2 linked regions of the Coturnix japonica genome follow. The protein of the gene in region 1 interacts with the protein of each later gene in a pairwise test. Links are inferred from orthologs where the notes say so. Each region holds a gene or a part of one and is shown in the gene's direction. Other genes may lie near its edges. The genes, in order: FBXO7 and PSMA3.

Region 1 (16,066 bases):
TAAGATATCTAAGATCATATATTCTGTGATTCAGGTTCCTCTCCAATCTGAGGTTCTCACATCATAGCTGACAGCATTGGAACAAAGACAGTATAGCAGCCAATTGGTCCTGAAGGATGTTCTGAAGGACATTTCCGATTCAGACACCTCTGTCATTTTTTTTTTTACAGCCTCCAGTAGAGGACTACATTGATGTTTGGTCAAGAATGATGAAGGAAAGCAATAGAAATTATACTCCATATGGAGTATGGATATTATAGAATTATGCTCCATATGGAGCACATATTTTCATCAGGAGTAGAGCAGTTAAAAGCCACAAAAAGAAACGTAGGATGCTGCATAAGGGCCAGCAGCCAACCTGAGATGTGAAGCAGAGCCTCGATAAAGGTATTAGCTATACAACACTAGTATAAAGGAAGATTAAGGTTAGATGTTAGGAAACAATTCTTTACTCAGTAGGCAGCGCTGCCCAAAGGTCTGTGGGTGCCCCATGACTGGAGGCATTCAAAGCTGGGTTGGATGGGGACCTAAGCAGCCTCAGCTGGGGAGTGGCAGCCCTGTGCATAGAAAGGGGTGGGAAATCAACAATCTTTGAGGTCTCTTCTGACCTAAACCATTTTACGATTCTACGATTTCAATACTTTTTTTGTAGAGTGCCTTGCCCAGCCTGAGCTCAGTTTGATACTTGATTACTGGAAACTGCAGAAATGGTCACAATGCTGAAGAGATACAAAACACTCCAGCCAACCTTCTCCAAGACTCAGGAGAGCGGTTCCTGACAGGCACAGCGCTCGCAGTGCCCTCACTGCACTTAGCTGCCACGGCGCTCACAGCCACCTTCCCGCCTCATACCTCCCCGCCACGGCGCGCCACCCGTGCGCATGCGCAGCAGCGACCCGCTCGCGCCGCACCACGGGCGGCGGCCATCTTGGCACACCGAGCAACCGCTCCTCGGGCAGCGGGGGCGGGGCCGGCCGGAGGCGGAGCCGGCCGGGGGCAGAGGCGGCGCCGCGCCAACCCAAACACCGCCACGCCCCGGCAGCCCTTGCGCCCGCTGCCCGCCACCATCGTTAGCCGGCGGGGGCCCGCTCGGAACGTCAAGCGGGCGGAAGCGCGGCCCCGCCGGCCCCGCCGCCATGAAGCTTCGCGTGCGGCTGCAGAAACGAACGGCGCCGCTGGAGCTGGAGGGGGCGGAGCCAACGCTGGGGGAGTTGCGCGCGCAGCTCCGCCGGGCCCTGCTTCCAGCCTGGGGCTACAGGTAGCGCGCGGAGCGAACCATCCCGCGGCGGCGGGGGGGCGGCCGGGAGCGGGGCCGAACCACGCGGGGTGGGGTCGGGGCGGCCCGGCCCGTTTCTCTTCCCTAACCCACCCCTGGCCGAGACGTGGCGCTGCCGCCCCCTGTGGGGAGAGGTCCGTGGGAGCTGTGCGGGGCCTGGCCACGGGTTGGGAGAGGCGTCCTCTGTCGCACGGGAGCGCAGTGCGAACGGTTGTGAGGTGAAACTTAATAAAAACTTAGAAAAAGTTTTGCTCCAGTGTACCTGGAGAGCGAATCGGGGGGGAAACTTCAAACTGTAATTATTTCCTCACTTTTGCTGTAGTGTATTGCTGAGTGTTACTGAATGACAGAATTGTAGGGCTTGACATTCTGTACGGTGTGGTGGGGACTTCTGGAGATCATCTAATCCAATGCCCTGCTAAAGCAGGTTCCCTACAGTAGCATATACAGGAAAGCAATTGGGTGGGTTTTGAGTATCTCCAGAGAAGGAGATACTCCGCAACCTTTCTGGGCAGCTTGTTCCACTGCTCTGTCACACTCACAGTAAAGAAGTTTTTCTTCATGTTCACGTGGAATTTCCTATGTTCCGGTTCGTGTCTGTTGCCCCTTGTTCTGATGCAGGCCACCACTGAAAGGAGCTTGGCCCCATCCATTTGACTCTTATCAGCATTGATAAGATTTCCCCCTCAAGACTTCTCCAGGTGGAACAATCCCAAGGCTCTCAGCCTTTCCTCATATGGGAATGCTCCATGCTTTCCATCTTCTCAGTGGCACTCTGCTGGGCTCTCTTAGAAGTTCCCTGGCTTTCTTGAACTGGGCTGCCCAGAACACAGTACTCCAGCAGGGCAAAGAAGAGAGGGAGGATGACCTCCTTTGACTTGCTGGCCATGCTCTTTGCAATGCACCTAGGATGCTGTTGGCCTTTGGGCCACAAGGGCACACTGCTGGCTCATGGCCAACCTGTTGCCCACCAGGGCACCCAGTTCCTTCTGCTGCAGAGATCTTTTTCAGTAGGTCACCCCTCACCTGTTCCAGTGCATGCAGTTATTCCTTCCCAGGTGTAGGACTCTGTGCTTGCCCTTGTTGAACCTTACTGATAGATTAGAACCCAAAGGAATAACATTTGTAGAACATAGTATGCTTTTCTAACTATACCTCTGTGTACAGCTACTCAAATGCAGCTAACCATATTTCCTTATTCTGTTATTTTACAGTTCTGATACAGAGTTTTCAATAACGTTGAATGGGAAGGATGCTCTTACAGAAGATGAGAAGACTTTAGTTTCATATGGGATAGTTCCTGGTGATTTGTTATGTTTATTACTAGAAGAAACAGATGCCAAATCCAGCCTACCTCCTCCCTCATCTTCTAATCCTCCCTCACTTCAGAATGGTCATGAGATATCCACCTTAACTCCCAAAAGTCAGGCTGACAGTCCAAAAGAAGAAAGGCAGAATGAAGAGTCTGACAACCAGAAATCTCAAGCGGAAGCTCAGAAAAGTGACAGTAGGGTAAGCACGTGAGAATTGACTTGACAAAAGACAAAAAATGAGGTATCTTACATCAGGTGATGCCCTGCATATCAAAGAATTGCTTCAGAATATTTGACTAGTTCTGACTGTCTGATAATGTAACCAGTTATTTGGATGGAAAGCTGTCTCCATCATTACTTGTTATGTCCTGGTTCCAAGTTCTAGTGCCTCAGTGCTACCTTGAAAAAAATTACTTGAGGTACCACACAAATGCAGCAAATACTGAAATATCACTCTCACGTTGAGCATGTGTGATTCCATTCTCGTGGTTATAGCAGTTTTCTAGGATTCAGATGGCCTGCTTGGAATGAGAGATCTGTCTATCTTGTGCATGAAGTTTAACAGTGCTAAGGTAGCATTGTGCTTCAGAAGTGTACATTTGTATGAAGCCACAAACCTGTTTCCAGTTAATAGACATGTCTTATGCATGTTTTGCAGTGATTTGTTTGTGACTGTAGATAGAACAGTTAAGCAGACAACTGCATCTGCCAGCTGCTAGTTGTGTGGTGAAAGTGGTTTTTCTAGAAGAGACCCCTAGGTGCCGTGCTGCTTGGTGCCTGTCTCATTATTTGATTTTGTCCCTTCCTAGACAGGAGCTTGAGAAGATGTTTATTTGTTCTTTGATTTTGGATTAATTGTCAAATACAAAATATCACTCGCTCCGACCTTCATATGAGAAATATTGCCAAACATATGTATAAGGTATTGTTTCAAAGTACAGGAATTAAGATTTAGGATCCAAAGAATTCTGAGTAGTGAAGGAGAATGTAGTTGGACCGTTGTCCCATTGATTCTTGCCAGGAGCAAAGCAGCATTAGTACATTGGTGCTGTGGGCATGCAAGCCCATGCAAGAAAGGAAATGACAATAAAGCCACAGTCTTCTTGAAATGTCAGCAAATGCTTTCTGTTAATGATTATTTTAGCTATTTAAGCCTATTGCATTTCTAAGGAGTCTGAGTTAATCATGTTGGTTTCTTGCTATGCACGTTGAAGTACCACAATAATTGTTCCTTTAAGTGTTGCAAGAATTCTGACAAATGTTTAATAATTTATTATCAATTTGCAAGAAAATGACAGACTTTTTAAATGAAAGACTTGCATTACAAGTATTGAAAAAATACAGAGGCTGTGTATATAATCCCAGTCTCCAACTGGGATGCTAGAAAACAGAGATGAATTGAGTCGGTAGAAGTTACATGGAACATCTGTAGTGTTGACTTGGTGCCCATGAAGACTGCCAGACAGACAAGCAATTGTGATGGTATAATTTTCTGCATGTATCTCTTGTTATCTCTTGAAGGCAGGATCCAGCCTAGAATTTCCTTCTGGATTAGTCCCAGGAGATGTTGATTTAGAAGAAGGTACAGGTTCCTATCCTTCCGAACCCATGCTGTGCAGTGAGGCTACTGATGGAGAGATTCCGCATTCCTTAGAGGTGCTCTACCTTTCTGCTGAGTGTACCAGTGCCACTGATGCCTTGATTGTCCTACTACATCTTCTCATGATGGAGACAGGCTATGTACCTCAGGTAAGTACACAATGTCTTGGTCAGTGCAAGTAAGCTGTAGAATATTACAAGAACCTGTAATGCAAGATGCTTCTAGAGGTCTGGATCAGGCTGTGTGTATACTGTAAGCAGCCCAGTCTGCTGAAGTGTCAGCATCTCTAACTTGACTGGCGAGTATATCTTAAGGCTAAACTCTAGAGCAGATTTTCGGGGTAAAAGGAGAGGCTTGCCTCCATGTTCCTCTCAGTCCTCACCTGGAACTCACCTGATAACCTGACATTTCTGCTTTTTACTGTTAAGCTTGTGTAGATGTGCTTGGATTGTGGCACTTTGTTGTAGTGCTTTCCTCAACGTAAGTGTCATCTCAATAGGGTACAGTTCAAATGGTGGCTAATAAGGTCTAGGGCTGCCTAAGTATTAACTTACATCATCTTCAGCAGGGTTCAGTTAGGCTTTAGAATCACTAATGTCTAGAGCACCTACAGTTTTGTCTCTGTCCAGTGAGCTCATCTTTTCCGTTTTCATGTAACTTGCATTAGGTGTTTACTATTATGTGACTAGTGTCCTGTTTTCCTTGTGGTGCTAAAACCATATGAAATTAGTTTAATTCTGTTTGGCCAACACCAGTTAACATTATTAAACAGCACTCCCATAGGCTGAAGTACTATCCAATGAACACATTCCCATAGGGAGCAGAATTTATTAATGTCGATTTGTGGATTTGAAAAGAAGGAATGTGATTTTTGTGCAAGTTTAAGAGGAAAGAAAGAGAGACCCTGCTTGTCCTCGTGGTTATGTTGCATCTCTCTGTGAGATAACATCTGATAATTCTCATACTGAAATTGAAAGGAAAACAGTTAATCCACTGAGATTTTCAAGCTATGACCTTCAAGTCCTGTCAGAGATCACAGAAAAGGTGCAATAAGACATTTTAAATGCAGAAAATTATCATATATTCAGGAGTTTTCAGAATGCTGGAGTGAATGGCAGAGTGAAGTATAGACTTACACAGTGACTATAAGTCTACACGCTGAATAACCTCCCCAGAAACTGGCGCAAGACAGAAATTGCTAAACTTCCCTTAGATTTGCTGTTAGTATTGAGGAAAAAAGTATGTGCTCATGCAGTTATAGTCTGTATCATAATGCAGATTGGGACTAAACTAAAGATTTGAATTCAAACACAGTTCTGGCATTTTCAAGTTTCTAGTCCTCTTTTTCCATTTGAAGATATGACGGTATTTTCTGTGTATTTTCAGGGGACAGAAGCCAAGGCAGTGTCTATGCCAGAGAAATGGAGAGGGAATGGTGTTTACAAGCTACAGTACACGCATCCCCTTTGCGAAGAGGGTTCTGCTGGTTTGACTTGTGTGCCTTTGGGAGATCTTGTTGCTATTAATGGTAAATTAGTAAAGTTTTATCCTGGATATAGGTTGCTAAATATCACGATTGCTTAGCAAGAGAAGACTTGCATAAGCTTCTTTGGAATCACAATGTCATTATCCAGGTTGATAAGGCAGATGCCACTTCCTGATGCTGGAAATTCTTGGCATTTCTTGCCTCAGTATCAGCTTTTTCCTTCTCTCTAATGAGAATGGAATAATGTTTGGGGAAGTCAGTTAGCTTTTTCATTACAGTGTTGTAAAAGTATGGGTTTTATCTCGTTTCATGGGAACTGTGTTATACCTGAGTAAATACTAAAAAGAGAGAGATTTAATCCATTTTATTTAGTCTCACACTCTTTGCAAGACTTAAGCCATTTCTAGACTACATATTTCTTTGTTCTAGTGTGTGTTCTTTTTTGTCCTGACTGAAACACATGAGCATTCTCACTGTGGTCTCAAAAAGCTGTTTAACTCAGAAAATTAAGAGAAGTCTGTTTATTTTGAGGCAACTTCCATATCTCTTGGTAGCTTTTGATTGGTTTGTTGCTTTTTAGTTGCTCTTTAATGTTTGATTTAGCATTTGAGCAATTCCTTATTATGGAACAGATATTAAATTGGAATTCCATTCTAATTTCAAGGTTTCTTTGATTAATATTTGTAGACATATATTTGGTTATCCTTTGCTATTAGGAGTTCAGTTTTTATTTTTTCTGAAATTTCTGTGTATCTAACTGCTGGCTGTCATTGGTATTTTCCTTGACAGGAGCTGGTAAGGGAGAATAGTAAAGCACCTCTGAGAGTAAGGCAGTGATGAAGTGGTCTTGGCTGTCTCTCAGTATGTTTTCAATTTTGGAATATCATTTTTTTTTTCTTCTTCTTATGTTTGCAGCAACATTAAAAATCAACAAAGAGATTAAAGGTGTGAAGAGAATACAGCTGCTGCCAGCATCCTTTGTTTGCTTTCAGGAACCAGGTATGCGTGAGCTATAATACTGATAACAGTCAACTAGGAAGTAGGCAAGTGATGCAATAGTGGGTAGGAATAGTAAGTGGAGGACTAAATAGGAAAAAAATAGCAAGAAAGAATAAAAATACAACCACTGTTTAGATGGGTTATTGCTTTATGGTAAAAGGAATTCAGAGTATAGCCATTTACTTGTATTTTGCTGCTAAAGTAATTCAAATTTCTTTGATTAACTGAATAAAGAAAGGATTTTGCAAAGACTGACTCATGCTTTGTCCCAAATGCCTGTTATTTCTGAGGTTCTAAATGTCAGTGTAAATTTCTGAGGCAGCAATGCTGGATTAGACCCTCTTTTTTTCTCCCTGCTGGCTCAGGACTTTAGAGGCTGGTGATACCTACACTCTTACTGTGACAACGTAACTGTTATCTGTGTTATAAAATAGATGCCAACCACATAACTCTCTCCAGAATGACAAAATCAGAGAAGTACTAAGGTGGGGGAGGAGAAGGACAGATGGATGTGGATCCTTTGTCAGCAGAAGACTGACTAGCCTTTTGTTTTACAAGGCATTAATGAACCTCTTTGTTGCCAGTTGAGGATGACTTGGTGTCCTACACTGTGTCTCTCAGATCTCCAGTCACTGATGTAAGAAGCTAGTCAAAAGGCTCTAGAGGAATAACTGAGCACTGACGTGTCCAAGATAATGGTAGAGTCTTCTGGCTCCTCTTTCCTAGGATAACAGAATGGAAAAGCACTCTTATCTGAAAAATGAATGTAACAGACATTTACAGCATAGGTGTGTGCCATCTGAGCTTTGAAATCTGATCAAAGAAGGTCTGACAGCTTGAGAGCCAGTTGGTTTTTGGAGAACTCATGTATTTCTCATAATGGTGCTTTTTAAAGCCATTGGGTAGCCTAGCCTTACCATGGAAGTAGGCTGGAGTTTCTCAAAAAATTGCTATTCCATACACACTATCCACATACACACACTAGCTGCAGACCTGGGCCCACCAAGATGACAAACAGATCACGGTTTTGTTTATAAGAAAGCCATGGTTTTTCTGCTCTTGCATAATCATTGCATTATAACCTCTTGAAATTAAGCTTTTTATCTCTCTGATTTGATAGAAAAGGTTGCGGGTGTTTACAAAGACCTTCAGAAATTATCTCGTCTCTTTAAAGACCAGCTGGTTTATTCTCTTCTGGCTGCTGCCCGACAAGGTGAGAGAGATGATACTTAATTTTTGCAGATGGAAGAAAGGGAGGGAGTGTATGCAGAGTCTTGAGGGAGAAGTGTTAGAAACAGTTCAGACAGCTGCTCAGTGGTGGGTATGTGGAGAGTAAGAAAAAAATGGACACTCTAAAGAAATTAGATTAATCTTTGTATTTTAAAAGAAGTCAATATAATGATAATTTCCCATCAAAAGTCAGAGGGCACCAAATCCAAACTGTATGATGGGTGTGGTAGGACAGTGCAGCCAAGACAGGCAATGTACTCCACTGTCTTTAAACTGGTATGGGGCCTGACATAACCATGATGCAAAAGAGTGGTTGTCTTTGCTGTCCTGACTCTGCAAGTTGGAGCCTTCAGCTTAGTTAGCATTGTGATGTAGCAGTCAGCATTGATGGTTTGTCCATGTCTTAGGAAATCCAGGAGGATCATCCCTTTCCTCACTTTGCCCACTGAGGGCTGCACCTTGAACTTTTTTTTAATGTGAAATTCATGTATCACTGCTCTGTGTACTGCTGTTTTGACTCTGTCTCATAGTGCTGACACCACATCTCATGATTGAGAATGGAACAGGAGGCTGTCACTGTCAGTGTGGTATTGTTGCAATGGGTCCTCACAGACTTGTATAAATTGTTTTTTTCTGTTCCTATGTGAGCCTTGGTGGGGCCCACCTGACACAAACGTCTCAATATTCTAGTGTTGCCACCATCTTTTCTAACTTCTTGAAGGTGACACTCAGCTCTGTACATTGGTCCCTGGAAGTAATCCACTGATTCACATGGATGAGCTGATAAAGACACTCTTCGTTTCATTATGTGACAGCTGTGTGTGGCCATGCAGAACATGGCTCTTCTTTCACATCACAGCTGTTGCCTCACTGTACTCACACCTAATATTTTGTCTCCATAAACATTCGGCAAATGTTGATAAATGTCAGTGGGTGCAATTTTTTTTCTGCATGGAAGAACTCAGTACCAGACTTTTGCTTCATCCACACTTCTGTGTCAGACACCATTTTGTCAGACCGCCCCTCTGCTGCCATCTGTTGGAAAGCAACAGCATGTAACAGCATATTGGTGGGAAAGCTCAGCCAGTAGAACCGGTTCAACAGAAAGTTCAACAGTAGAACTGCAGGCATGTCCAACCCACATGCTGCATGCAGCCTGGCATAGCTCATACTGCAGCCACCCCCTACTCTACATCATCATGGCAGGCTCTTCCTGTTATGTTTGCGGCCCGGCCCAGCCGTGGGCATGCACTCATCTCTCAGTAACAGCCAAACATCAGGGTGTGCTTGACACTAAGCTGAAACCAAGACACAGGGGGCACGGTGCAGTGCTAATTGAAGTTATGGCAAATGATTATAAGCATTTTGGTGCTAAACTGTCCTGTGAACAATGACATATTTGCAGTTTTCTGTTTTGATAAAGGAGTCTGAGATTCATCAAATTTTTTCATGTTTGCCATTCTCCTGTTTTCAGTTGACACAAATACGTTACCTGTGAATTTTCACATGGAACGTGTAAAATTGCAACCAGATATTGATTGTGTCTCTTTACTAGACTTTTCTAAGACCTATCAGCAGTAGGAAATCAGGCTTTCTGTGTATAGATACTGCTGTAAAAGAGTTCAGCTTAGTATTCTGAAGACACAGTGGAATCCGTAGACTTCAGTGCGGGCAAGTTTTATGTGAAACATATGCTGTGCATTTGATATGTTTTTTTTATGGACTCTTGTAATCAGGCAGACCTTTTTCCTTTGGCCTTTGTTCTGTAGCCTGCACACATAAGCATGCGGCATGTTTCTTAGGTTAACAGCAGTCACTGGTGTTCAGTGTAAAGTACCATTTGGCCTATTTCATGAACTCATAAACATACTGCAAGGTGGAAGAGATCAGTATTCTAAGAAACCGTGTCCTGGTGCTTTTGGAGACCCGTTGTTTAACTGAGGCATCAAAAGGGAATGATCTAAGGGAAAGGTTATGATGTCTTTCTTTTCTTCAGGGTCATCAGCTTTGCACCATTTAGTTAATTCTTCTGTGTCCTCCACTTCGTAGCTCTGAACTTGCCAGATGTCTTTGGGTTAGTGGTCCTTCCTCTTGAGCTGAAGCTTCGGATTTTTAGACTTCTGGATGTCCGTTCCCTCATCTCTCTGTCTGCTGTTTGCCGTGATCTTTATGCAGCTTCAAATGATCAGCTTCTGTGGAGGTTTATGTATCTGCGAGATTTCAGAGGTAACGGTGATACACATTTTCTTCAATTTCATTCTCGTGTGAACAGGGGTAATTAGGTCTTACGTTTTGATAAGAGGTTGCTCAGGTAAGCAGTCTTGATTTTTAAATAGTGGCATCAAATAGAGTCATTAGTGATAGTGACCAGTACAGTGGACTAGATGTAATTCAGGTGGGTATTCTGTTTTCTGTCATGAAAAATAGTAATAGTTATCTGAGCCATTTCTCATGGACCATATAGTTCTGCCCATCATGTGGTAGAACTTTGGTTGTTTTCATCTGTTTCTCTTGCTACTTAGATACACTTGTTATTGCAGCTATCTGAGAGTGAAGAGAAGGGATATTCCTGCTAGAATTCCTCACAAGAGACTGAAGAAAAAGGTGGTAAAGGGAAGTGCTATTATAAATCAAAGATGGGAATAATATTCCTGGGATTTCCTAGGAGTTTCGGAGATGGTATTTTATATAGAATATGAGTAGATTATATACTGAATGGTCCTACAGCTTTATATTTTTTTTAAACACATTATGTATTGACCAGAGATGTTTTTTTCATCTCCTGCATGTTCCCACAAATCCTTGGCATAAATGCTACTTAAAAGAGGTTGCTCATTTTGATTCTGTGCTTCTCTTGTAGATCCCATTGCAAGGCCTCGTGACACTGACTGGAAAGAAGTAGGTGGCTTCTCTATATAATCTCACTGAGATTAGTCTACATGGGAGAAATTCAGGGCAAACACAGAGACTTTGGGAAGCTGTAGTTTTGAGTTAAATTTTAATTTAAAAGTGTTCTGTAAACACGAGTTGAGTTTGGTTGGAGTAGGGGAAGATGAACATCAACAAGAGACTTGGTGAACCTTAAAATACCTTTGTTTCTGTCTGCAGCTATACAAGAAAAAGTTGAAACAGAAGAAGGAGGCCTTGAGATGGAGGCACATGTTTCTGCCCCCTACACCTCATCCAATTCCCTTTCATCCCAACCCATTTTATCCTAGTCCCTTTCCTCCCAACCCATTCCCATCAAACCCAATCTATCCCCCCATGGTCATTGGAGAATATGTTGAGAGACCAACGCTTCTGTATATTGGAGACCCAATTAATTCACTCATTCCTGGCCCAGGAGAAGCACCATGCCAGTTTCCTCCATTCAGACCACATTTTGACCCCATTGGTTCCTTGCCTGGAGCAAACCCTACACTTCCAGGACGAGCTGGTCCCAATGACAGGTTTCCACCTAGACCCAGCCGGGGCCGCCCCACGGACGTTCGCCGTGCGTTCATTTGATTGCTGCTTTCTCCCTCAGTGGATTTTCTAGTTCCTGAGCTTGCTTTCTAACTGCAGGACCTTGTAAAGCCAGGCACTAACATCTGCCTTCTCCTCAGATTGTTGCAAGAACTTGTTTGCATGGTAATGTTTTGACCCCAGAGTTAGGGTTTGTTTGTGTTCTGGTAATAGTGCAGTACCTGGCACTAAGGTCTTTTTCAAGATGGGCTGTGACTTAGAACAGTACATGTTGTTTCCCTCCCACCTCTCTTCTTCAATCACCTGTGGAGTGCTACTTAGAGACTAGAAGGATACTGGCTAAGTATTTGCTTCATCAGATAAAGAGTATCTTTTTCTGTCTTATTTGAAGAGTTTTTTTAATTTGCCAGGAAAAAAAAATATTTCGTTTCAAATCTACCTGGCTAATGATTTTTCTTAACAAAAACTCTGCCACATCCCACGTAGAATGGGATCCTACCACTGCTATGGTAGATGTGTTTTCATAGATTATTTTTCAGAGACGTTTTCCTTTTTCTGTTAGGTAAAAAGCATTTTTATGTCGTTACTTAATACACAAAGAATACAAGGAAGGGACTTTTTGTTTTAAGTGGAAGAAATTAGAAAGCAAATCAGTTCATTTTGCAAACAGCTGAGTGAACCCATGCTGCAGGGCAACTCAAAGCCTGAACAGAAGCAGAGCAATTTTACAAAGAACCAGCAGCAAAACATTTTTACTTTTTCCTTGTTTGAACAGGTTGACTTTACAAATAAGTAGCTATAGTACATGGCCGCGTTTACTGTGTGTGAACTAAAATGGATGCAAAAATAAGTTTTTCTGCCTGCCTAACTATTTAAGGAATTAAACAGGTTGACCCGATTGCAGTGGATGTGGCATCACAGCAGGAGAAACAGAACCAGTTCATACTTCAGTAAATTCTGTTCAATTGCACTAGAGCAGTATCAAAAGTTATCTCGACGGAAGAAAACATGCTGTGGCATGTTAGAGCTTTTCAAGTGTTGTCTCGTTAACTAATGAACAACTAACAACATCGCTGTTACAGTTTCCTGATGAGATCTGCAGTGTCATACTGAAGCTCAATTAAAGAAAGACTGGAATAACTAAACTTTGCTAGAACTTTTCATTTCTTATTTTCCTTCTTTTTAAGATGGTTTGATCTCGGTGTTTCTGAAAACGTAAATGGTACCGATGACTGTTGTGACAGCTGATATTGCTTTCTACAATCCTTTTGGAATTCAAACAATGGCAGTGAATTACGTTTCCTACTAAATACAAGCTGTTTCATCAGTAATACTTCTGTGCTTTTTCAGGTGATGTTTCAGTGAGTCATCTTTTTGTTTTACACATCAGCTGACTTTGGTTGGGTCAGGAAGTTCTATTAACTCTGGGGGAGTAAAATAATACTTTTTTGTTTGTTTGATTTTTGCTCTCAAAAGTTGTATTTCTTGTTTCTCTCTCTTTTTCCACTTCAGAGCAGCAGCAAACCAGTGCAAATCCTGCCATGATTGATCACACATAAGTATCAATAGAGCCTGAGGGCAGTGGTTCAATATCAGAATGAGCCTTAACTTTTTCCTAGTGTGGTTGAATTGCCTTGTTCCAATGGAATTTTCATTTAAGTGTATAGTCAGGCATTGTGGAGCTAACAGTGATTCTTCAAGGGAAAATGGAAGTCTGCACTGTGTGTGTCTTGCACCATTTTGCCCTTGTGATGTGTCCTTCAGAAATGCATCCATAATACTCAGGCAAAGTCACACAACTTTAATGGATTCTGTTTATCATGGATTTTGTCACTGGGACGTTTAAGAACAAATTGGGCATCATTACAGATACACCGATGAGTGACCTGAAGGTGTTCCTTCCCTTTCTTTTGCACTGTAGGGGAAGGCATTGTGAGCCAGAGATAAAGGAATCTGCCTTATCCCAAACCGTTGATTTCCTACAGAGGAATTTCCTTAATTCATAGGACAGTATATGAAATACAGTGTGAATATGTCAGGACCAGCAGTATAAAATGACATGGCAGAACAAAGGAAATACTTGAAAACCAGCCACTTGGTTATTTACCAGCTTCTGAGGCAGGCGTACGTGTCATTGCTGCTTGCAAACTACAGAAGAGACACGAAGATGAAATGCTTGAGGGTGGCCATCATTCCTTACCTGTACTGTTCATTCGCATGCACTGCTGCTAACAGCTGCTTGGAAATTGGGAACTGTTATTGCACTTACCCCTTTTTAATTTGCTTTACCTTATTCATGGAACTTAAGAAGACCGTATTGAATAACCTAGTTATATGCAGGGTGTAAGGTCTTACATACCCATCTGTGATAAGTGAAAGAAAAGGAAGTACAGCTGCAGTCATTGGAGCAGGAGTGCTATTCTGAGCCTTAGCTTTATACAAGATGTTTAATTGCATGAGAACACGAGTTACATTCCTCTTGAAATACCACACCTAGATATTACAAGAAAGACAAGATGTTTTTTCAGTCTGGGTCTAAACAGCAGAATGTAAATTCATTCAGGCAGATGAGTCGCTGCTGGCTGTCAGGTCAGCAGTGCTGTCCTGTTGCAGTAGTCAGCTGGAGGACGGTCCTGCTGTGTTTCAAGGGCAGCATCAGCAAATGATCCAACTGCTGTGATACCAGTGATTAACTGAAGTCAACTGAAGGAGCCATATCTTACCAGTCAGTAGTTCCCTGTCTATTTATTTATTTATTTATTTTGTGTGTGTGTGTGTAGGGTGTGTTGGTAAGAGATTCACAAAGATGTGAAGGGTAGAACAATTGAGGATTCTGTCAGTAAACTGCTATGTTTGCGTTTCTGGTGACCACTTAGTAGGGCAAGGCATGAGCCATGCTGAGGGAAGTGTTATGGAAGGGAATGCTCTTCCACCAGAGCTGTATTACCTCTTCTCCATACAGTGGAGCTGGTTAATCTGCTATTGTTCTTGCCAGTGGAACAGTGCTCGGAGTCATTTGTCACTCTTTTATTGCTCCTGGAGACTGAGAAACAGCAGGGTCTGTTTTCTTTCTCAGGCAATGACATGTGTTTATGATGCTACATTGTAAGCTGCTTAGCAAACCTGGAAGGACAAAACAGAGCTGGGAAAAAAAAAAAAAGAAAAAAAAGAAAAAGGATAAATCAGGAGGGAATTGAGTGGTTCTTTAATTCTGAACTTGAGATATAAATCATTGGTCCAGATGAGTCTCTCGAGAGCCTTCCAAGCTGGAAAAGCCATGCAGTTACTTGCCTGAAAGTGTACAGGTCACAAAAGCAATTATATTTGTAGAGGTATGTTCGGGTTGGTCATGTTAGGTCCGGATGACTGCATTGGATCTAGATGCTCATTACAGGTGCTGTGCATGAAGGAATTGCTCATCTGGCTTCATTCCCACCCGTGAATCATGAGATCCAAGATGGCAGATACTGCTGTTGGTTTTTCTGACCTGGGGACCTCTTTTTAAGTGACTGCTAAGATCTGCACCGCTGGCTCAAATGTTTGTAACTGACTTACTGATCTCCTTTCCACCACTGGTATTCCTAAGTGTAACTGATACGAAGTTGCAAAGGGAAACATAAAGGTAGAAGTCTGGCCTTGCAGCTGTGCATATGGATTTGTGGTGCAAATACTGGACACAAAAATGCAAGAGGCTTCCTCCTGGAGCCCTGCTTCGCATATGTCAGGTGATGGGATGGAGGCTGGTGCTTTCATCAGGTGTATTGGGTGGGCTCTCAGCTGGTAGAAGTAGCCATAGTGAGATTGATTTACACACTGGTTTTTTTCTCTTACAAACATGGTTTGTGTCATTCCTGTTGTTGCCATGTCCTAGTTGCAGCATGTGTGTTTGTCTACAGCTTCATTCTATATTACTTGCTTAAGAAAAGCACAGCCAGCAAAGATCCATGTCTGTCTTCTCCAGAAGGTCATTACCTGCTTGGGGTGGTCAAGTACATGCCTTCCCATTGCTTGGTGTCTCTGGATGGACCCCAGTTCATCTTATTTCTAGATGACAGTTTTCCTGTTCCATCACAGGTCTGTCACCTTGGTTAGTTTTGCACTCACCCCAGTCAATGGGAGTTCAAGGAGTGAGACAGGATTTCACTCCATCTCTCCGTCCAATCTGTATTATGGAACACTCAGCACCCAACTATGTGCACTTCATCAGCTCTGCTAGTAATTAAATAAGTTCCCAGGGGACAGACATAGGCAGATGTAATCAAGCCACCAAAGTGCTTGGATTTGTATGGATTATGGATTTGAACTCTACAGTGTTTCCCAGGGGCAAGGAAAGAAGTTGTTTTCTGTGTGTGTGTGTTTGGAAAGGCCATTTCTCAGGTTACTTTTGAGCTGACGCTACAGGATTTGAATGTGACATTTTTCTTTCTAAACTTGGGAATCACATGCTGGGGACATAAATGCAAGACATGAAAAGGACATTTTAACTGCTGTGAGCAGAGTGATCTGGAACAAACCAGCAGTCCATCTGCTCACGTGATCTTTGGCAGTTACCGATGCGTGGCACTGTCTCTTATTTGAATGTAGTTCACTCTGAAAAATGACTTTAAGCAAAGTTGGTATCATGAAGTTCCATGGTTCACTGTATTTCCCTACTCAGGCTTTATCAGTCTATGAATACTTGCTGCTGTTTCTTGCAC
Region 2 (14,986 bases), on another chromosome or scaffold:
CTTGCCTAAATCTTGCCTAGTTATAGTGTCAGCTTCATTTCAGTGTAGGACCTGGATACATCTGAGCTCAGCTGAGGTATAGAAGCTTAGTTTTTTTTCCTACTGGCAGGACCTAGAATGTGTTCTGTAAGTTAAATTGTCTGTACTGTTGATCCAATGAGTTCTCTTCTGTCCCTTTATTCTTGTTTTATGAAGTTCGAACTTGTTTTGTGAGTGACCTCCAACGTGGACTGAAGATCCAGGCAGCCAAGTTCAACATTGATGGCAGTGCTGAGGTGAGCAGTGAATGAGAATTCCTCTGGTCTTTTCTGAAGTGGATGTAACCATTCTGTTCTTGAAAATAAAGCACTTCTTTCTTTCTTTCTAGCGTCCTTCACCACCTCCAGATGTGGACTATCCTTTAGATGGTGAAAAGATTCTCCATGTAGTTGGCTCCATTCGGTGAGAAGTACTGTAGTGCAGTGTTTGCTTTTGGCATTAGTGAGGCTTTGGCACCTCCTGCTGTACACACTGTGTGGCAGAAGCAGCTGTGACATTGTGCTGTCAGCAAGGAGTTTGTGGTTGTTTTAGCCCTGCTGTAGGGTAGCGCTGCTTCTCACTAACACTCCTGTCTTTTCAACAGAGACTCAGTTGCAGAAATACTGTTTGAACAGGATAATGAAGAGACATCTGTTGCCACTTTGATCTTGGATTCTCTCATTCAGGTATCTTCATAATAGAAACAAGAATTTGCACACCACTACCCTCAGAATCTGCTCTTATAAATGGCTCCTGCAGTGTCATCCCCCTGACTACAGGTTGCAGTCAGCACAAGGTGACTCCTCAGGCTGTGGCCTCTGGTGAATCACTGTGGGGTAGCAAGTCACTGTGTGTCATTCCCTTTATGGTTGCTTTTGTTCTTTGGTGTGCTGCTGTTTGGGCCAGTTTTCAGCCAAGCAAAGAAGCAGTGCAGTGCTCCCTCCTCAGTGAAAGGCTTAAGATGAATGGAGTTGGGGCATTTTCATTGCTGGCAAAATGTTTGGTGTTTCTTCTCCTGGAACCGGTGGGAATTCACAGCATTGATATCCCACCATCTTTTGTGTTGGCCAGACTCAGCTACAGGGATTTACAGTGACTCACAGTGTGCTCAGCCTTGACTGGGCAGTTCCTTCAGCCTGGTCTTCTGATGGAGTCTGTAGTTGTAGATGTTTTCTCCTTTTTTGCTGACACAAGTAGTTGAAGTGCATAGAAGGACTGATTGAATTTCTAAGACCTTTGAAAGCGTCTGTGTGCAAGTTGCATTGAAGTATTGTGTTTTCTATTCCCCTTGTTGTTAGTGTCCCATAGACACCAGGAAGCAGCTGGCAGAGAACTTAGTGGTTATGGGTGGCACTGCCATGTTACCAGGATTCCTGCACAGACTCATGGCTGAGATCAGGTACCTGGTGGAAAAACCGAAATACAAAGAAGTCCTTGCGACTAAAACCTTCAAAGTTCACACTCCACCTGCCAAACCCAACTACGTGGCGTGGCTGGGAGGTAAGAGTGCAGCTGGATCTTACTATTAAGAGTCTGGTTGAAGTGGTGAAGGCTGAGGGGCAGAATCACAACCCTGGGCTTCAGTAAGGCCAATTTTGGCCTATGTAAGCAATTGCTAGGGGAAATCCCATGGGACAGGGTACTTGAAGGTAAAGGGGCCCAAGATAGTTGGTTAGCATTGAAGGACTGCTTCTTCCAAGCTCAAGATCAGAGCATCCCAGCAGGTAGGAAGTAGAGAAAGGGAACCAGGAGACCTGCATGGTTAAGCAGGGAGCTGCTGGGCAAGCTGAAGTGAAAGGGGAGGGTCTACAGTTCATGGAAAGAGGGGCTGGTCACATAGGAGAAATATAAGGTGATGAAGGGAGTGGAGCATCTCCACTATAAGGAGAGGCTGAGGGAGCTGGGCCGCTTTGGCTTGGAGGAGACAGAGGGGCAATGCCATTATAGTTTGTAAAGGGTGTGTGACAGGAGGATGGAGCCAGGCACATCTCAGTGACATTCAGCAGCAGGACAAGGGATGCAAGCTGGGACACAGGAGGTTCCATGTAAATGTGAGGAAACCTCTTCATGTGAGGGTGTGGGGTCTCCTTCTGTGGAGACATTCACAACCCATCTGGCTGTGTTCCTGTGTGACCTGATCCAGGTGTTCCTGCACGGGCAGGGGATTGGGCTTGGATGACCGTTGTGGTCCCTTCCAGTCCCTGACTTTGTGTGATTTATTTTTAGTTACTTTCATAGAGTAGAAATGGGAGCAATTTGGGTCAAAAAGGGCTGCTAAAAATGAAAGTACCTCCATCCTTTTGTTCCTTTTTAATGTAAAACTATATTTTTTTGTCAATAACAGGAGCCATTTTTGGAGCACTTCAGGACATACTCGGAAGCCGCTCTGTGTCCAGAGAATATTACAGCCAGATGGGGCGCATCCCTGACTGGTGCTGTCTGAGTAATCCTCCTCTGGAGATGATGTTTGATGTTGGGAAAGCACCCCCACCGCTGATGAAAAGGGCTTTTTCAACTGAGAAATAAGCACTTAAATGCTACACAAGGGCTCTCCTCATCTGTTTCAAGTACATATGCATATATATATATGAGCAGGATTTTTTTGTATGAAGTTATGTGTGTAACACCATTAAACGTGAGCAGTGTGGATGTTCTGGGGAGCACGGTGGTGGTTACTGATGCTGTATGTGGGGCTGTGTTCATGTATTGTTTAGAAATGGATTCTGTGGACTCCTGTGCTGCTTTGTCACCTGGTGCAGGATTGGTCTGTAGTCACGACTTGCAGCTGACAGTGTTTTGTTATCGGTGCTGTGAAGGTGCTTTGTTTCAAGATACTTTAAGTACTCTGAGAAGACCGGAGGACTGTCTGCTTTGGGAAGCAGCTGGAAGCTTTGCTGCCAGATTGAAGAGTGGAATGCAATGCTTTACATGGGATCCTGCATTGGAGCTGCTATAAAATGGCTTGTGCTGCTTAGCAAAGCTGCAGGGATGGTGTTTCCTCTGAGCAGTGAGTATTGGCTTCAGTGTTTCAGCAAAGAACTGTGCTATGTGTGATACCCTGCAATGCTGAGCTGACACCATCCCACTGCCTCCCCAGCAGGAAAGAATTGAGCTGTTTAAAGAATTATAAATGGGCACACAAGGAATTCTTGGACCTCACTGAAATGCCACACTCAGAAGTCGCTTCTTTGCCCATCAGAATTATTAAACTTCATTGTGCAGCGCTGTGTATTAAATGAAAATACATTACTTACAAGCAACAATGCGTTGCTTAGGGAAGATGGATGCTTTGCTATGAGCACCGTGTGGGAGCTGGCAGGGTGTTGGAAGCCAATGGTCGCCCTTTGTGCTCCTGTGCATCTCTTGGCAGTTCAGTATTGCTGCAGGGAGGAGCCCCACTGGTTATTAAGGGAAATCTGGTGCAGTTAACACAGGTGGCTTATTTCTGGTGGTGCTGGCGGGTGTTTGGGAGTTGGAACTGGCTGCTGTATCCTGGAATAAAAGCATGTCCTGGAGGCTGCAGGATGCCCCATAAAAGAGCCCTTCTATTATAGGAGCAAAATTAACCTGCCGCCCAACGTGGGGCTCGAACCCACGACCCTGAGATTAAGAGTCTCATGCTCTACCGACTGAGCTAGCCGGGCGCTGTGGAGCACCCTCCCAATTCATCTCTTCAGCACACGCCGAGCGCTTCGCGTTACCAAACGCTCCGCCCGCTGAAACCCCTCCTCCGCCGAGCGCTGGTTGGGCTGCATGGAGGCCAATGGGACCGCGGGTTGCTGAGGGGTCGGGAGCGGCATCGAGGCCGGGGCGGCAGGGGGGGCTGTGTCCGAGTGAGGCGGCGCCGCCATGAGCTCCATCGGCACCGGGGTGAGCGCGGGCCGCGGGCGGGCGGGGGGCGAGAAGGGTAAATGGGGCCTGGAGGTGGCGGCCCCAAAGTTCCCATCGGCCGGGGCTGAGCGGGATCGTGGCCGCTGCTGAGTCACCGCGGCCCGTTAGGCCGAGGCCCTGTGGAGCTGCGGGGCCGCGTTGTCCGGGCTGTGCCGTGGGTTGTTGGTTGCTGAGCGATCCTTTCTATTCTATTCTCCAGTACGACCTGTCGGCATCCACCTTCTCTCCCGATGGCAGAGTGTTCCAAGTGGAATACGCGATGAAGGCTGTGGAGAACAGCAGGTAGGATACGGCTGGATCCACCTCTTTGTGGAGGGGCCTCCTTCACAGAATCACAGAATGAGCCGGGTTGGAAGGGACCTCAAGGATCATGTAGTTCCAACCCCCTGCCTGGCAGGGCCACCAAACATACACCTTTACTAGATCAGGTTGCCCAGGGCCCCGTCCAACCTGGCCTTGAACACCTCCAAGGACGGGGCATCCACAACCTCCCTGGGCAGCCTGTTCCAGGGCCTAACCACTCTCCTAGTGAAGAACTTCCCCCTAACATCCAACCTAAATCTTCCCTCTTTTAACTTAAAACCATTTCCTCATGTCCTGCTATTATCAGCCCTGTCGAAGAGTTTACTCTCCTCCTGGGTGTAAGTTCCCTTCAGGTATTGAAAGGCTGCAATGAGGTCACCCTGCAACCTTCTCTTCTCCAGGCTGAACAAACCCAACTCCCTCAGCCTGTCCTCATAGGGGAGGTGCTCCCAGCCCCCTGATCATCTTCCTGTCCCTCCTCTGGACCCTTTCCAAAATCTCCATATCTTTTTTGTACTGAGGGCTCCACACCTGGACACAGTACAACAGATGGGGCCTCACAAGAGCAGAGTAGAGAGGGACAAACACCTCCCTATCCCTGCTGAGATCCCTGCTCTTTCAAAGCAGCCTCTGGTTCTGGAGATGGAACTGATTGTAACAGTGAGGTTTTGAGCATCGATGCCCCCACCCTCCATTTGGGAGGCTGCAAATAGAGTAAAAACTATATGAGTTGGAGCAGACCTGCTGGGGTGGAAACTGTGTCACTGTGTCATTTGATCACTGGTTGGCAACTCTGCCCACACGGGGCTGGAGCTCAGAGATCCTTCAGGTCCCTTCCAACGTCAGCCACTCCAGCATTTTATTAATTCGTAGAATCATACCATTACCCAGGTTGGAAAAGACCTTGAAGATCATCAAGTCCAACTGCAGCCCAACCATAGTACCCCAACTCTAACAACCCTCTGCTACATCATATCCCTGAGCACCGCATCCAAACGGCTCTTAAACACATCCAGGGATGGCAATTCAACCCCCTCCCTGGGCAGCCTATTCCAGTACTTAACTACCCTTTCTGTAATGAAGTGTTTCCTAATATCCAACCTATGCCCTGGCGTAACTTGAGGCTGTTCTTTGTTACTTGTCTGCACGGTTCTATTCAGTGTAAGAGAAACTCCCTGTTGTCTTGTCTTTCAGTACAGCCATTGGGATAAGGTGCAAAGATGGCGTTGTCTTTGGTGTAGAAAAGCTCGTTCTGTCCAAGCTGTACGAAGAAGGCTCCAATAAACGTCTCTTCAACGTCGATCGGCACGTTGGAATGGTGAGCGGCTGCTTAAGCTCTCAGGATTTGAAGGGGCTCAGAATAATATTAAAGAGATGCAGTGATGGCAATTCTCCTTCCAGGCAGTAGCGGGGCTGCTTGCAGATGCTCGTTCGTTGGCAGACATAGCTAGAGAAGAAGCTTCTAACTTCAGGACTAACTATGGCTACGACATTCCACTGAAGGTAAGAAATGAGCGCGGTTCACTCAGAGCTTTTGGCTTTTTTAACCTTGACAGCGATAACCATAAGCAATAATTGTGATTTACTTATTTCTGCAAATAAAGGCCTCCGCTTTTCTTTTCCCCCTTAGCATCTTGCAGACAGAGTGGCCATGTACGTGCATGCATACACACTGTACAGCGCTGTCAGACCTTTTGGTTGCAGGTAGGTCTTTCCAACATGTGCTTGTTTGTAAAGGCCTTTTGCTTCAGAAGGGCTGGAGCTGTTTATGTCTTAGCTCATTTTTCACATTTGGTACCGATAAACCAAGAAGTGGGAAGAGTTTCCCCTGTCCTTTGTTTTATTGCATCAGAGCAAACCAGGCTGTGTATGGCCTGCATGCCTGTCCATCAGGCTTAAAGCTGAGGAGTTGATGTTGAATCTGTGTCCATTTTGAAAGCAGAACTTTGTGATCATCCCCTAAAGAATAGGTAATAACTACCATGCAGCTGTGGTTACCAGGGAACTAACAAACTGAGGTCTGTAGTTATAGTTAAGTAAAACATTTCTGGTCAATTGCAGGTGCTTTGGGGTCACGATAACACTGAGCCTTCAGACAAACTGCTTACAGAGTGTAATAGGGTAGTGGGGAGCCCTGACTTGATTTAGCTGTCATTGCTGTATGTGGGTTGGCAGAATGACTGTTTGATTTTGCTTTTTCTCACCCAGTTTCATGTTGGGGTCCTATGATGACGATGACGGCGCACAACTGTACATGATCGACCCGTCAGGAGTTTCATACGTGAGTCTTTCAGAAATACTGTTACTTTTAAGTTGCTCTTTTAGAGGTTTCTAATCTGGACATCAGTAACGTGGCGTGCAGTTCTTAGAAGCAGCACCGCTTCCATAAAGCCTGTTTTTAAAGCTCTCAGAAATGTGGGAGTTCATTCCACCTGTATGCAATGAGGAGTCCCATCCATTGCCGCAGGGTTGAGTGCTGCAGTGATAACTCCGCTCACAAAACACTGAGGTGCAGAGGCTGCTAGGTGGGCTTTGGTGGTGGTCTTTTCTAATTCTACTTTAATTATAGTAAAAGATCCTATGCGACAAACAGAGCAGGTGTGTGTGTGCCCAGAGGATCTACTTAGCATTGCTCTGTCAAGGGTGGCAGTGCTTAACCCAATAACTTGTGAACCTCACCTGAGAGAGAACAGTGCCAACATTTGCTGTGTATCTGCCTTGTTACAGGAGTGAAGGAGTCGTTAGGTATGTGGTGGATGTAGTATTTCATTAACCTTACACTTTTCTTTGTTGTTTAGGGTTATTGGGGCTGTGCCATCGGTAAAGCCAGGCAGGCTGCAAAAACAGAGATTGAAAAGCTTCAGGTAGGTTGTTTCACTTTTATTGTGTTGCTTTCAGGATGGATTATTTCTGCCTTTTTAGATGCCTTAAATTCATAAAGTACAAGAGAAGCAGAAGTATTTCCTAATACGTTGTCTTAGCCTCTATAGGAGCAGTGTTTCTGGCATCTTGACCCTGGGCAATGGGAAGTCCATAGTGAGCACACAGTTTTAAAAGGAGAAGCATAAACATACACTTCTTTGGTTACCAGCCTAATTGTTTTTGTAGAGCTGCAGTGTTTGTATTCCTTGAACTTCATGGTAGGGCCTGTGAAGTTCAGTAGATGAGAACAGGGGTGTGCCATACAGCACAGCTGTGCTGATCTGTCATGGCTTGTTTGCAGAATGCTTTCAGTGTGATGTGGTCAGAGCAGCATGAAGCAAGTGCGGTCTTGTGTGCTGATGCTTCTTGGTAACGGTGGGCTGGACAGGTTCCAGGGCAGAGCTGATTTTGTTCAGCTGATTTCCTGATTGAATGACAAAACATAAATGGGAAGAAGACAAATGCAAACGCTTTGGTGGGGTGGATAGTGATAAGATGAAGGGGAGTGGTTTTAAACTGAGACAGGGGAGGTTTAGGTTGGATACTGGGGGAAGTTTTTCCCCCAGAGGGTGGTGACGCACTGGAACAGGTTTCCTAAGGAGGCTGTGGATGCCCCATCCCTGCAGGCATTCAAGGCCAGGCTGGATGTGGCTCTGGGCAGCCTGGGCTGCTGGTTGGTGACCCTGCACACAGCAGGGGGTTGGAGCTGGGTGAGCACTGTGGGCCTTTGCAACCTGGGCTGTTCTATGATTCCATGCTGATTCTATGATCCTATTAGCTGCGGATCTGTCCTGTGAAAGATGACTGTAGATGGAAAGAAAGAGGTGAGAATATCATCATAACCTTGAAACCTGTCTGGCAGGTACTGCAATGCAGGTGCTGCATGTGGGAGGGGATGCAGTACGTGAGATCTGCACACGCAGCTTATACTGCAGGTGGGGTGCACTGCATTGATCACATCTGTTGCATCTTATGCAAACATTTGGTATCTTCTGTCACATGGGGCCTGCTTGAATCTGTTCATCTGCAGTGCTTCTCATGTTATTTTCAGATCATATTTATGACTTTTTTTATATGGACATAATGGGGAGTTAATTACAGGAGTTAATTACAATTACAGTATTTCCTATTTGGGGAAGATTGGGCCAGGAAAAGAATAATGACAAAAGATAAATGAAAGCTTTGTTTTGTAAACACACATGACAGTAACAGACCTTTGGGTTTTCTTGTTTCACTATTGACTCCATGTGCTTAAATACACATAGGTGTGTGACGCAGATTAGATTTATAAATAGAAGTCAGCACTGCGTTACGGATTGAGTCACAAATGGAAGGGCTGGGACAGTGTCTCTGTTTAGGAAACTTGTTGGAATGCAAATGTGACAGCACATCTACCTAAGCAGGGCCGTTTCCTTTTCCTTTGGCCCACTGTGTACTTGGGTGTGTGCATTACACACACACAGGAAGTGCTGTCAGACTCAGCATGAAGAAAGAACTGCTGTCCTTCAGCAGCTTCTCAACCAACTTCTGTACGATGGCTTTGCAAAGTGGTTGAGAATCTGAGATGGTAAAACTACATGTATCTCATAAGCTCTACCCTAAGCTCGGTGTAAAATATGCTGGTCTAATCAATAATCAGGTATGTTTTAGTGAGTGAAAGATGCATTGTGGAGAATAGGCACATCACAGTCCCTCGTTTGCTGGCCAAATGCAAAACAGGATGTTCTGCTAAGCTGTATGTTTTTTGTCTGCAGATGAAGGAAATGACTTGCCGTGACGTTGTAAAAGAGGTTGCGAAAATGTAAGTCTGCAGAGTGTTTCTCCAGCTCAGCAAAAATAGGTGCTTGTGGGCTTGTTATGGTTTCAAAGTGAAGCTGTTCCCTTTACATGAGGTACCAGGTTTCACTTTTGTAGATGAGTGCTGGTGCTGATTCTAGTCTGGTGTTCTATTAAGATCTGTCTTGTGAGATGGGCTGGGGGAAGTTCTTTACTGTGAGAGTGGTGAGGTGCTGGAACAGCTGCCCAGAGACGCTGTGGATGCCCCGTCCATCCCTGGAGGTGTTCAAGGCCAGGCTGGATGGGGCCCTGGGCAGCCTGGGCTGGTATCAATGTGGAGGTTGGTGGCCCTGCATGTGGTGGGGGTTGGAGCTTCAAGGTCCTTGAGGTCCCTTCCAACCCAAGCCAGTCTATGGTCTCTTCAAATAAATACAAGTATCCTTTCGGCTGTTTCCAGTACTTAATGCTTACAGGGATACTTCTGCACTTGTCACAAATCTAATAATATGCAGCTACAGAAATAATTTCCAGCCTTTTATGGCTGTTCCTTAGAGGTTATAAAGAAGTAATAAATGTTTCCATCAATGGTGTTGCAGCATGTGAGTTTATTTATGTGGCTGTGTCAGAGGCTATCATGTTAGCTGCTAAAGGAAAGAATGTGTGGGCTCTCTGCTCCTGAAACATAACAAGGACCTCAAAACGACTCTGAAACTGCACAAACAAAGCACAAGGCTGTAAGTTGTTGTAGGCTTAGCAGATGGGATGGAGAGCTCTACGTACAGGTTGTGTATTAGCAGTTGTGTTTAGATTTAGTTTCAAGTATAAGATGAAACAAGATTTACAGGGGAAATGCAGGGAGCTCCTGCCACACTGTGACTGATTGAGCAGAAGCAGGCAATGATGTCATAGCCTTGGTTCTACAGTACTGGAATCTTAAATAACATTTATTGTAAAGGTGATGTTCTGTATTGGGTTACTCAGCATCTCACCTACGTGGGTACCTTGCATCTTATCTGTAATCATGCAACACACTGTTTTAGTAATGCTTTACTCCACAATATGCCCTGATAGACTCTTTTCCTCTTGAAATGGGATGAGCACAAAGGAGAGGTTGAAGAGAAAGCAGGAGGGGAAGCTTCTATTACATGTAGGAAATGGTGTTTCAACAGAGTAAGAGATGTGTGAAAGGAAGAAATTATAATTTGCCTGTCAATAAATCTGTTCTAACCTCCACCCTCTCCCTTTCTTTCCAGAATCTACATCGTTCATGATGAAGTAAAGGATAAAGCTTTTGAGTTGGAACTCAGCTGGGTTGGAGAAAGTAATGCATTTCTACCTTTCTGTCAACAGTAGAGAAAGCTTCTCATTTTCTGTATTGAACATGCAGAAGCAGTGTTTTACTTATCGCACCGTGCTGTGTGAATTCTAATAGGTACTTCTTTTTTGTTTGCAGTAACCAATGGAAAACATGAAATTGTTCCCAAAGACATAAGAGAAGAAGCAGAAAAATATGCCAAGGTAAGGTCTGACATCACTGCTGTCATCTCAGTGTTGCTCTTGGCAAGTCTGGAATAGAATGAATGAAGTAAGGAGCAGGATTGTAGCACTATAATGACTGGAAAAGGGATGGGTACATTAATCACTTGTAGCCAGGATGTCTCCTGATGAGAGAATTGGGAAGTTCCCTCCATGCAATCCACAGACAGTTCTTACATTTAAAAAGCATGGCATCAAGCTTCCCTACCTCTCATTTCTTTTATTAATGCCTCAGTCATTACATAAGTGGATGGGAAATGCAGTAAGTCGCGTTACCTTTAAAGCAGGTATTTTAGTTAACCAGCTGGATAAAGCTGCTCCCCCAGCATTTGCTTTGAAAGCAGTAGTGGTGCCAGGTTTTAAGTTCTTAAGTAGTTTAGTTCTTCAGTAGAAACAAGGCCTGCTCAATAGCGGCCTTTGTGTATGTAGAGAAAATAGTAAAACAAAACTCTTTTTTTTTTTTAATAGGAATCTTTGAAAGAGGAGGATGAATCAGATGATGAAAATATGTAACACATTGTTACTTCAAGACAAGTTTGACTTAGTACAGGTTTGTTTATAATGTATTACCCATGGGACGCTCCTTTGTACATGCTGGAGGAGACTGAGTGACCAACTTGCACTAATAAATTTTCCATTTTACTGTCTGTTAGATTTCATTTCAAAATAAGTTAGGATCAATTTAGAATACAGAATGCTTTGTATTCTAAACTGTACATCAAAACAGGCCTTAAGATGGAAAGGTGTCATCATGCTGGTGTAGATGCTTCTTACTACAGCAGAACTTTTGAATCAGGCTGGGCCTAGGAAGACATGTTATCAGTTTAGGTGATATGTGCAGCTGCCAACTACAACCAGCTTCCAGGAAAGCACTTTAATTAACAGTTCTGCTGTCTCAGGCTTAAGCCTGGGCTAAGAGTCAAGCCACATGGAATGCTTGCCTTTCCAGCTAAGCACAGATGTCAAACTGCTACAGCTCTCTATCAGGCAGCTTCCTTGAGTGCTGTCCCCAGAGGCAACCATATAGCAACTGCACCTGAATCAGGCTTTAGTTCTGTCTTGCATTCAGTGTGAGTTTACTACTGAAGCTTATTGCCTATTCAACTCTTCTGAGTCAGTGAAAGCCAATCAGTAAACTGATCTCAGCCTAAAGCACCTGCTGAGGACTGATCTTTCACTTGCTTTAATGTGACAAAATGACTCCTTGATTCCAAACCTGAAACCTTGCTCACAAACTGCTAAATGAAAATGAAGAGCTGTATTTACAAGCAGCTACACCTTTATAATCTTTCCACAGCTATTTAGGGCTTGGTACGGGAAATGTAACAGTCTTACAAGTGATGTTACTGGGTTAAGAGGAAAGGGCAAGTGCAGCTGTAATTATAGATACTTCCTTACCCTTCAGGCTTAAAATGTATCTAGGAGTCAGACTTCAGCTCAACGGCTGGTTAGCTGAAAGCTGACATGAAAGCTTCCATCAGCCTCTTGCAGCTTCAGATCCAGGGCATGCCTCTGCAGAGAGGAAGGCCTGGATGAGCTGTTACCCAAGGCAGAGTAGCCACAGTAACCTTTTAACATGCCAAGTGAGTAGGGCAACCAAATTAGTGCTTCTACTGAGAGCTGACTAGGACAGATGCAGGCTCAGTGATATAGGAAGCAATAAACTCAACAGACCTAACAGCAGGAGTCTGAAACGGGTAACCAAAGGCTCCCAGAATGAGACTTCAGTTGGACCAGCAATGCCTTCCTGCAGGAATAGGGCTTGGATCCCCTTCTCTGAAGAAGGGAGCTTCTATGCCTGGCCTGGAAATGGTTGCTTTTAACAATGAAATGCAAAACTCAACTGAAAAGTATATTGCAAGGATAACAAACATGCCCTTAGTAAGGCAGGACGTTTCTGAATATCTGATTTCAGCAAGAGGTGATTCTTAACATTCATTTTTATTATTCCTGCCAAGAGTACTGGGAGGTTTTAGTTTTGAAGATACCAGAAAGGCATAATTAGCCCATAACATGGCAGCATTTCTTGCTTCAGGCTTAACAAGTAACCTACTTAGTCTGGGCTCTGGCCATTTATGGGAATAGCGTAATAGAACAGAAAGTCACATACCCACTTGGAATGTACAACTGCAGTACTTGCCACGCTGGAACACAACTTCACAGCATTAAAGGCAAATCCCATTGCTTGAACCCCAAAGTACGTGCTCTAATGCAACACCAGAAGAAAGCTGGTCTATATGATTGTTTATCTCTTAGCTTAAAGTCATCCTTTCTCATGGACTGTACTTTTTATACAGGATTTTGGATAACATCTTCATTCAAAGTTATGTTACTACTGATAAATAATTTTAAGATTGAGCTGTTGGAACATCACAGGAGTAACCCACGTGTAAGGTTTCTGGTAGGACAGATAAACATAAGGAGAGCTCCACAATAAATACTGCTCAGCTGAAGTTGGTGCTGACTCAGAAAGGAAGCACTTCAATTAATTCCAAGCAGATCTGAGCTATGCCAGGCATCAGGTCATTCATCACTTTGCATAAGCAAAAACAGCATGATGGCCTAAGGCTAAAAGCCCCCCTTCCCTGCAAGTTCCACTGCTCACATGGGTACAATAACACGTGAGATGCTATTTGACTCTGCAGCCCTGGTCACTTCTAAGGAAGGGGCTTGGATATAACTTAATATGGCAGTGATCTCCCTTAGGATTTAACTGGTAACCATAGAAGGGTACAGAAAACAGTGAACTGTTTAAGATACATTGTTGAATGATAATCATAACCCTGGAGTGCTCAATTTCAGGACTGAAGATAAAAATAGGGTTTTGAGTGCATAACACCACCAAAAACACTGCAAAGAGACTGTTCTTTCCCCCTCCTCCTCCATCTGTTGCACACCTCTAAGAGGATGACTGGTTTCTACTGCACACACCAGTTTTTCAAGTTCAGTGCAGTAAGGAAGTTACCTTTACCTAAGGATTGACAGCTATTTTGAGACATTTACTACCTCTACCTTTCCTTATTAGATGGCTTGCCGTCCCTTATTGCCAGTTACACAGAGTTGCAGGGAACAGGCTCCAAAAGAGGTAAGGGTGGAGCCTTACTGTCTGTCTAGTAAACACATGACAGTATTTGAGAACACAGGATCTACAGCCGAGCTCAAACCAAGTCTCTCATTTCCAGCTGCAGCGCTCTTTCATCTTCACACGCTGCTATTAAAGGACTCCAAAGCAGTTGTTTAAAAATGGTCCTTAGGATTGCTGTGCAAACCAAAAATGGACAACTAGAATAAAGCAGACAGCGGCCTCGTGTACTTTGTAGTCCAAACACACATGTGTCATCAGATATAAGGAATAGTTAAGTCCCCTGAAGCTTCTCCTAAAGGTAATAAGAACTACCTGCAAAAAATACCACCTTAATTGACATAGTGAGAGGAGACAAATAAAAAGGTTAGATCCAAAAATCACTCAGCAAGTCCTGCTGCTGAAAGAGGAATCTAACAGTGGGTTAAGTTATAGTGAACTCCCATAGAAGCTGATACATCCCTACCACACGTAACAGAAAAAGCAGCAATTCCTAAATTAAAGCCAGAAAACTGCAAGTAAAACGTCCATTCTGCAAGACTTTTAGAAAAGGAGGAATCTGCTGCTTTCATTATCTGAGACATCAACAGGTTTCAGCAAACACAAGATGACTTAACAGCATGCTTACATAGAGCACCATTTCAGCTCTCATTCTGTGTGTATCTGCACTCTCTGCAATGAGAACCCCCTACATTCATTCCTATTATGTTCCAGGAATAGAAGAAAGCTGGAGTAGTGTCTGAGGAAGTGGATTCAAAGCGTAGCTTTATTTGTTTCCAGTAGGAAAGTTACTTAAACAACTACATTCCCCAGCCAAATGATAGTTGAAACAATACTCCCATACCAACAAAATGGGGTGACAAACTGCCTGCAAGGAAGAAACCGCAGCCCCCTAATAAAAGATGCCTTTCTTTGATTCAGAGTAGTTGAAACTTGCTAAGAAGACGGGTTTTGTTCTGGAAATCAACATAACGCAGCTTCTAACAGTGGCTCTGGTTGCAATGTATCTGTACTGGTCATACAGCACACAGCAGAACTGCAGCTCCTCACAGGAAAAAACCACCCACATCCCTGAAAATACAAACCTCCTGTGAGCAGTGCAGCCTTGCAACTAATTGACAACCTGGATGTGCAAACCCAGTGCCAGCTGGTCAGCTACTTCTCAAGTGAGCATCTGCTACCTGTAATAACAGCCAGCAAACAAAACACAGAACTGAAAAGTCAGCTTTAAAAAGAAGGCTTAAAGGTAGGAAAGAGTCAGGATGCAGTCACCAACTAAGCTGTATGAATTCTTGCTAATGGTGGCTGTTTATAGCTAATAACATTTAAATCATTAGACTGAGGGCATTAATGCCTTCCAAAGATAATCAATACTGATGAATTGCAGTCGTGTTGGCTGAGGCTGAAAAGTAAATTAACTGTAAGTGATTGAAGTAATTTAGACAAGCAAAAGCCCTA

What was found.
Region 2: the proteins of FBXO7 (region 1) and PSMA3 interact in binary tests that used the Homo sapiens proteins (3 or more experiments, as listed by UniProt). The two-hybrid records come from large-scale screens. The link is inferred for Coturnix japonica from reciprocal best matches to the Homo sapiens genes FBXO7 and PSMA3.

What each region holds. Positions count from the first base shown.
Region 1 is NC_029516.1:48,674,147-48,690,212, reverse strand, and holds FBXO7 (F-box only protein 7), read left to right. Parts: upstream 1-935; 5' UTR 936-1,136; coding exon 1,137-1,258; intron 1,259-2,490; coding exon 2,491-2,788; intron 2,789-4,110; coding exon 4,111-4,338; intron 4,339-5,575; coding exon 5,576-5,717; intron 5,718-6,590; coding exon 6,591-6,674; intron 6,675-7,794; coding exon 7,795-7,887; intron 7,888-9,953; coding exon 9,954-10,130; intron 10,131-10,764; coding exon 10,765-10,802; intron 10,803-11,012; coding exon 11,013-11,411; 3' UTR 11,412-12,514; downstream 12,515-16,066. UniProt on the Homo sapiens protein: Substrate recognition component of a SCF (SKP1-CUL1-F-box protein) E3 ubiquitin-protein ligase complex which mediates the ubiquitination and subsequent proteasomal degradation of target proteins and plays a role in several biological processes such as cell cycle, cell proliferation, or maintenance of chromosome stability.
Region 2 is NC_029520.1:50,253,155-50,268,140, reverse strand, and holds PSMA3 (proteasome subunit alpha type-3), read left to right. Parts: upstream 1-3,753; 5' UTR 3,754-3,867; coding exon 3,868-3,888; intron 3,889-4,108; coding exon 4,109-4,191; intron 4,192-5,406; coding exon 5,407-5,530; intron 5,531-5,613; coding exon 5,614-5,715; intron 5,716-5,842; coding exon 5,843-5,916; intron 5,917-6,420; coding exon 6,421-6,493; intron 6,494-7,010; coding exon 7,011-7,076; intron 7,077-7,077; exon of another isoform or gene 7,078-7,558; intron 7,559-8,888; coding exon 8,889-8,935; intron 8,936-10,163; coding exon 10,164-10,231; intron 10,232-10,363; coding exon 10,364-10,428; intron 10,429-10,914; coding exon 10,915-10,959; 3' UTR 10,960-11,093; downstream 11,094-14,986. Other genes in the region: ACTR10 (actin-related protein 10), read left to right, coding at 196-275, 368-441, 623-704, 1,317-1,518, 2,363-2,544. UniProt on the Homo sapiens protein: Component of the 20S core proteasome complex involved in the proteolytic degradation of most intracellular proteins. This complex plays numerous essential roles within the cell by associating with different regulatory particles.